Sus scrofa: one gene and its partner. The protein of the gene in region 1 interacts with the protein of each later gene in a biochemical or structural test. Links are inferred from orthologs where the notes say so. Each region holds a gene or a part of one and is shown on either strand. Other genes may lie near its edges. The genes, in order: FLT4 and VEGFD.

Region 1 (4,247 bases):
GGACAATAGATGATAAAGGCAGGGAAATGAAGAGCCAGAATTTGAGGGCTAGGTAGAGGGTAGTGATAGGAAAGGGAAGGCTTCTGAAAAGCTAGGGTCTGTCTATATACCTTGATCTGAAGGTATATAGGGTTGAAACATAGCGTTTGCTTTAAATTTTGCATTTATAATATATGGATATATACTTTCCATATGTTAAAACTGAACAAAAAATTGAAAGAAAATAAATAAATGGTTGAGGAGGAGTTCCCGTTGTGGCTCAGAGGAAACAAATCTGACTAGCATCCATGAGGATACAGGTTCGACCCCTTGCCTCACTCATTGGGTTAAGGATCTGGCATTGCCGTGAGCTGTGGTGTAGGTCACAGATGTGGCTCGGATCTGGCATGGCTGTGGCTGTGGCTGTGGCTGGCAGCTGCAGCTCTGATTTGACCCCTAGCCTGGGAACCTTCATATGCCATGGGTGCAGCCCTAAAAAGACAAAAAAAAAAAAAAAAAAGGTTGATGAAAATATTTAATTTCATTTATTTGGTTGCTAACTTTCCCCAACATTATTTATTAAATCATCTAAACTATCACCACCTACTTGTGATTATTACTGAATATATTCCATTCTTACTTGCACTTGAGATTTGGTAACAGTTATTATCAACAATGGTTTTGGGCAAGGATGAAGGGAGTTTTGTGGGGGCCTGGAGGTGGGGGATAATAAAAGTGTGAAGTACAAGAAAAGCAGAAGAGGGAGATAGCCATCATCATGGGATTTGTTTTTAAATAGGAAAATTCTAGAGACAGAACTGAAAAGAGAAAGGACGTCTGTGAGGTTGCCAAGTCAGAGAGCAAAGTGTCACCTGATAAAAGGACTTATGAATGAGCTTTGAGCAAAACTATTTGGAGATCTAAGGAGGAGCCCATGCCTGCAGGATGGAGGTTGGTTCACTGGGTGCCTGACCAAGGATACAGCCTCTATCTACACTACGGACACAGTAAGGTATAAAGTTTGTGGAATGTTCTCAAAGATTTGACATATTCCTACTTTAAATTATATTTATTGCTCTTTTTTCTTACTTTAAACATAGTATTTATTGACTAAAGAAAATTACAGAAAAATACGTGCTGCCACATTTTTGTGCAACCATTTTAACGCACAGTAAAGAACTGGTACATTACCTGCATCCTCTGCCTGCTCGGAGAGGCCCTGGGGCGGGCCTAAAGGACTGCCATTGACTCGGAAGTGGGGCCGCCAAGAGCCAGCCTTCCCTCCGCGGTGCACTGCCAGCACCCTCAGAACTAGGCCGGACACTCCATTGGTTGGGGGCGGGACTGAGGTACGACTGCAGCCCAAGACCCCTGGCCCCGCCTCTGGAGTCCCGCCCCCCGGCCCCGCCCCGGCTCTGGCCGCAGCCCCGCCCCGGCCCCGCCCGCGCCGCGCCGCGAGCCCACAATCACAGCCCCGAGCCGCGCTCGCGCATCTGACCAGTGCCACAGCGGCCGGAGATGCAGCGGGGTGCCGCGCTATGCCTGCGCCTGTGGCTCTTCCTTGGACTGCTCGACAGCAAGCGTGGTGAGCCTTCCGCCCGCCTCATTGCTCAGCCAGCCTCGAGGGGGGACGCTTTCCCTGGGCGTACGGTGGAACCGCACCGACGGGAGACAGGCGGGAGACAGGGCCACCAGGACCCTTGGGCAAGAGGGGAGACAGGGTCGGGAGCCAGGGATACAGGCCCCAGAACCTGCACAGAGCTCGACGATCCGATTCGGGCTGGGGCCCGCCGGTTTAAGGAAAGGGCGGGGACGGGGCGCCGGGCATAGAGATCGCTCTCCGGGTCCAAGACTTCGCTCCACCGTCTATGGCTCAGCTCCCTTGGAGCTGGGCCCCGTTGTGCTGCATCCTCAGCCTGGATCCTTCTCTTGCTTACGCGCTTCCCGGCGGAGTCTAGGCACCTCCGACCCATGCACACTGAAGATTGCAGTCCCGTTGGGGTCACAGACTTGGGTGCGCACTTCCCGACGCCTCCTGTCGGAGCTCCAGCTGTCCCCCAGAGGGAACTTGCAGTTAGTGTCCACCTTCCCCAGGCCAGGGACTGCGGGGGCAGGGTCTTGGGGACCGTGGGAGATAGGCGCCGTCGGGCGGTTTGGGTGCAGATGGTACCTGTTGGGATTTGAAGCGAATCACGAGGTAAGTGATCGGCGTGGCCGGCCCTCACCCTGTTTAAGGGGATCGAAGCCTTGAAGGCTGCGCTAAGGATTTTGGATCATACGGTGGGGATGGCCAAGGAGAGGCGAGGTCCGGCTTCTGATGCGAGGTTACCACTAAGGGGCTGGAGGGAAGGGAATGTGAAGGATGAGAGAGGGAGCAGAAGGGTATGGCTGGATGGAGGTGTCAGGATTAAAGCATCAGGAAAGAGGGGAAGATGAACTGGTCACCATGCAAGATCTGGTGACCCTGGAAATCAGAGGGTAGAGGAAAGGTCATGGGTTCCCTAGTAGTTGAGGAGTTTTGGGAGGTCTGAGGGAGAGATGGGGACCTCACTATTTTTTTTTAACACTGTGGGCTTTGAATACTGGCTTCATTTCTTTTAATCCTCACAAGGGAGTGTTAGACTCATTTTACAAATTGGGACATTTAGACCAAGCACAGGTGTCATTTCCCCAAGCTCTTCGGGAGGCTGGGAGTAAGAAGAGGTCAACTCAGATCTTTGGGGTAACAGAGTTCTGTTCTTTGTGCCTACACAGGCTGAAGGGCTGAGCACAGGGGAGGTGAGGGAGGTGTGGGGAGGAGGAGGGAGGTAGAATTTGTCTGAGCTCAAAGCAGAGCAGGTCTGAGTGGAGGGGCTACCACTTAGCCCTTCTTCGCTCCCCTGCACCCTGCCTAGGGCCAGGCTCTCACAGGTGCTCATTATGTGTTTGTTGAATGACTGAAAGAGTAGGGGAAGAGAAGTGAATGGGTCCCTGGTTGGACTTCGGGGCTGAGGGGCAAGAGGACACCCCTGGAGGAAACATCCAAAAGGGAGTTAAGTGTAGTGTCCAAGGCTCAGGAGAGAGGCTGGGTTGGGGAGCTGGAGAGGGAGCAGAGCAAAGGCTCCAGAATGGGACTCCCATCCCCCAAGGAGGGAACCAGAGGAGGGAGAGGCTTCCAGAGGGGTGGGAAACATTCCACATGTGAGGTGTAAGGGAAACCAGGAGAGGCTGGTATCCTGGTGCTCCTGGGTGGAGCAGAACGGGAGGTAGAAGGAGGATGAGGTCAGTCCAAGAGTGAGTGCCGTGGTTCTTACCAAAGTTGGGCAGTAAAAGGGAAGAGAGAATATTAGCTGAGAGGGCCCATGGAGGGAGGGTGGCCCAGGCTGAACCAGGGCATGGCTGCTGGGGAGATTCCCCATGGAGAACAGTCCATCTCCACCCTCCCTGAGCTTTGCATTTGCTCCACCCATTTCTGGGCCGAGGAGGACCTGAGGAGCTCCCACCCTGATGTGGTTGCTGGAGCAGAGGCACACACATTCCAGTGCAGCCAGGTGTCAGTGCAGCCAGAGTGGGAGGCCAAACACTGGCAGGGGAGAAGCCTGGGGACTCTGCAGCTGACCCTTAAAAACTAATGTTGGTCCCAGAACCAGACTTGTCCTAGTCCTGTCTCCTAAACTCCTTGCTGTGTGGCCTGGGCCCCTTTCTTCCTTTCTCTGTGCCTTAGTTTCCCCATGCACAGCAGTACAATAGGCTGGCAAGTGCTGAGGGCCTATGCTTGGGGCTGGACTTTTTGGCCCACAGTGTCCTTGTAGACAAAGCAGGTGGCAGATGTCATCTTCAACAGGCTTTGTCTCTTGGGGCTTAGTCTAGAGAGGGGCCGTTTGCACCTCTGGTCAGTGGACAGTCAACTTAGGTACATGTGGGGAAGGAGGCAGCTGCTAGGAAGCTTGGTTGGCCTGGCCTGAGGCTGCTGCTAGGGGCTGAATCACACACAGCCATCTCAGCTCTTCCATGTCCCTGCTGAACAGCCCTGAGCCAGATCCAGGTGTGGACAGAGGTGTGGGGGTTAGGTGGGGATGCAAGTCAGTACAGGCAGAATGTGGGGGCTGGGCCCATCTTACTGAGTGCCTGTGGACCACTGACCCAGTACAGTGATCTGGGAACTCGAATGCAGGTCCTGCTCATGTACCTGCCATGCCAGAGGCACTGGGTCAGAGTGGCTGAAGGGTGCTCTGCCTCCCCAGAGCACAGTGTCCATATGGCCAGACACCAGGCTGGGCATGAGGTGT
Region 2 (3,812 bases), on another chromosome or scaffold:
AGGAAGAAGACTGTGGAAAAGATGTTCTAAGGGAATAATTTAGACTAACATCAGCTCTGTAACAATAGTATTTTTTTTCATTTATAATGATTTTTATTTCTTCCACTGTAGTTGGTTTACAGTGCTTTGTAAATTTTCTGCTGTACAGCAAAGGGACCCAGTCACACATACATATATACATTCTTTTTCTCCCATTATCCTCCATCCTGCTCCATCATAACTGACTAGATAGAGTTCCCAGTGCTATACAGCGGGATCTCATTGCTCATCCATTCCACCTGCAATAGTGTGCATCTATGAACCCCAGATTCCCGGTCCATCCCACGCCCTCCCCCTCCCCCTTGGCAACAATGATATTTTATCTGTACACTTCAGAAAAATGTTCTGTCTTTTCTAGTGGAAATGTGTTTATATATACACAGGAATTCAGAATCTTGGCAGAAACCAATTACATATTTTTCAAGACGGGCGAAAAATGGAGAGGAGGTTATCTATTGTGGTTTAACACATTACCCCAAAACTTAGCTGCTTCAGACAGCAGTGTTGTTTGTTTGTTTGTTTGTTTTTATGGCCATACCTGAGGCATATGGAAGTTCCCGGGCTAGGGATTGAGCCCGAGCTTCAGCTGTGGCTTGTGCCACAGCTACATCAATGCCAGATCCTTTAACCCACTGCGCAGGGCCAGGGATTGAACCCGCAGCCTCCGCAGCCACCCAAGCCACTGCAGTCAGATTCTTAACCCACTGTGCCACAGCAGGAACTCCCATATAGTGGTTTTTTTTTTTTCTTTTTAGGGCCACCCCCATGGCATATGGAAGTTCCCAGGCTAGCGGTCGAATCAGAGCTACAGCTGTCAGCCTATACCACAGCCATGGCAACACCAGATCCATCCATAGCTTAACCCACAGCTCATGGCAACACCAGATCCTTTGACCTGCCGAACAAAGCCAGGGATTGAGCCTTCCTCCCCACGGATACTAGTTGGGTTCACTAATGCTGCGCCACAATGGGAACTCCCCCAGACAGCGCTTTTTATCTCACGGTCTCCTGGGTCAGAAATGCAGGTGTGACCTTAATTGATGTCCTTCTTTCAGAGTCTCTCCAGAGGCTGCAAAGTATCAGCTAGGGCTGAAGGCATCATCTCAAGGTTCAGTTGGGGCCAGATGTGCTTCCAAGTTTACTCACAGGTTGTCAGCAGGATTCAGTTCACAGGCTGTTGGACTGAGGGTCCCAGCTCCTCACTGGCAGTTGGATAGAGGCCACCCTCAGTTCCCTACCATGTGGGCCTTTCCAACGTGGCAGCTCGCAGCATCAAAGCTTGCAAGCCGAGGAGGCAAGAGAGGGTGCCAGCAACAGATGGAGACTGTTAGCAAGATGGAAATCACAGTCTCTCTTAACCTAGTCATGGAAGTCACATCCCATCACTCTTGCTGTATTCTCTTCCTAAGAATCAGGTCACTAGGTCGAGCCCACACAGAGAGGAGGGGATTACACAAGGGTGTGAACACCAGGAGGCAGCCAACACAGAGGGTCAGTTTAGAAGCAGCCAACCACCAAGGAATTTCACCACCCCTGCCCCACGTATAATCAAGTCTCCAATTCCATGGCAAACTAAGTCTTTGAAATGTTGTCTTTATCATAAAATTGAATCATTTCTCAAAAATATCCACAGAAAGGCTGTGCAACTGTTAAGTATCAAAGTATCAAGATCTAATTAAGGAGTTCCCGTCGTGGCTCAGTAGTTAACGAAGCCGACTGGAAACCAGGAGGTTTCGGGTTCGATCCCTGACCTTGCTCAGTGGGTTAAAGATCCGGCGTTGCTGTGAACTGTGGTGTAGGTCGCAAATGCAGCTCGGATCCTGCGTTGCTGTGGCTGTGGCGTAGGCCAGCGGCTACAGCTCCAATTTGACCCCTAGCCTGGGAATCTCCATATGCCGTGGGAGCGGTCCCAGAAGAGACACACACACAAAAAAAATCTAATTAAAACAATAAACTATGAGAGAAAAGCAAGTGCTATTTTAACAAGATTGCATATAATCTTGTTTTTATTCCCAGAGGCTTCTTTTTCTTGTTTCTCACAAGTTAGCTAGAATGGCCAGAATATTGCTCCTTTCATCAAAATGAACCCCTTCTTTCATCATTTTGTAGAAACATCGGTATCAGGCATTTGCAAATGAGAAAATTCTGACTCGAGGAAAGATTAGTTCCACTTAAATTTTCGTTTATGTATTTGCCAGGTTTGAATCCTACAGTAGGTACTTAAGGAACCAACAGAAACGGATTTCTTGATGGTGCTGAAACCTACCTGCAGCTGGCTTCAAGAAGAAATGCTATGTCAATTGCTTAGTAAATAGTGCTTACATGTTATTGCTTTACGTGCATCCATTTACTTCCTTATTAGGCAGCCTCTCTGCATGTACCTGATGTGGTTATTTTTAAAAATTTTGAGTGTAGTTGATTTAAAGTGTGTTAGTTTCAGGTGTACAGCAAAGAGATTCAGTTATACAGATACATATTCATAGTCCTATTCACATTATTTTCCCATACAGGTTACCACACAGTATTGAGTAGATTTCCCTGTGCTATACAGTAGGTCCTTTTACTTATCTATTTTATATAAAGTAGTGTGTATATGTCACTCCTGACCCACCGCCTAATGTATCCCTCCCCCCACTCCCACGTTTCCCCTTTGGAAACCATAAGTTTGATTGCAAAATCTTTGAGTCTGTTTCTGTTTTGTAAATAGGTTCATTTGTATCATTTTTTTATTAGACTCCACCGATAAGTCATATCATATGATATTTGTCTGGCTTATTATGGTAATCTCTAGGTCCTTCCGTGTTGCTACAAATGACAATATTTCATTCTGTTTATGGCTGAGTAATATTCCATTGTATGTATACACTACATCTTCTTTATCTCTTCACCTGCTGATAGACATTTAGGTGGCTTCCATGTCTTGGCTATTGTGAAATGAGCTGCAGTGAACCTTGAGGTGCATAGATCATCTCCAACCGATGTAGTTCTATACAGGACATGGTGATCATCACCAATGGAAAGTAAAATTCTAGTCTATGCAGGTATCATATCAATAGAAAAGAACACAGATTTGGGTCGGGATTGTTCTGAAGACAATATGTGGTTGAATGGCTGACCCCAATCCCCCATCTAGTGAGATAAACATGAGAAGGTGTTCCGTGTCGCCCTGGCCCACGTGGGCCTGTCAGGGCCGTTGGTTCTGCCGGCCCACTGAGCTCCTCTCTGCAGTTATAGATGAGGAATGGCAGAGGACGCAGTGCAGCCCTCGAGAGACGTGCGTGGAGGTGGCCAGCGAGGTGGGCAGGAGCACCGACACATTCTTCAAGCCTCCCTGCGTGAACGTGTTCCGGTGTGGCGGCTGCTGCAATGAAGAGAGTCTTGTGTGTGTGAACACCAGCACCTCCTATGTTTCCAAACAGGTATGAGGACATCAGCCCTGCCGCTGATCGCACTGACAGCTCCGGCTCAGCTTGTTGCCCAGCGCTGTCTCCATGCTTGATGTGCGTCATTGCCTTTAACCCATGAAACCAGCCAAAAGGGTAGCTGATCGTCTTCCCTGATAGATGGAGGCGCAGAGAGGGGACTTGTGGCAGAGCTGGGATTCAAAGCCGGGTCACTCCAGAGTCTGATCCCTTGTCAGTTACCGTCTCTCTGATGATATAAGGTCAAAAAATCACGTGGAAGTTTCTAGAACAGACATTAAAAGGACCAAAGACAACCGCTCTAACTCATGGACTCATTAGGTTCTGTGTTGTTCGAATGGAGTGATTGAA

What was found.
Region 2: the proteins of FLT4 (region 1) and VEGFD form a complex in vitro, tested with the Homo sapiens proteins (2 studies listed by BioGRID). The link is inferred for Sus scrofa from reciprocal best matches to the Homo sapiens genes FLT4 and VEGFD.

Annotation. Positions count from the first base shown.
Region 1 is NC_010444.4:78,074,583-78,078,829, forward strand, and holds the start of FLT4 (vascular endothelial growth factor receptor 3), read left to right. Parts: upstream 1-1,425; 5' UTR 1,426-1,497; coding exon 1,498-1,564; intron 1,565-4,247. UniProt on the Homo sapiens protein: Tyrosine-protein kinase that acts as a cell-surface receptor for VEGFC and VEGFD, and plays an essential role in adult lymphangiogenesis and in the development of the vascular network and the cardiovascular system during embryonic development.
Region 2 is NC_010461.5:11,906,197-11,910,008, reverse strand, and holds part of VEGFD (vascular endothelial growth factor D), read left to right. Parts: intron 1-3,267; coding exon 3,268-3,458; intron 3,459-3,812. UniProt on the Homo sapiens protein: Growth factor active in angiogenesis, lymphangiogenesis and endothelial cell growth, stimulating their proliferation and migration and also has effects on the permeability of blood vessels.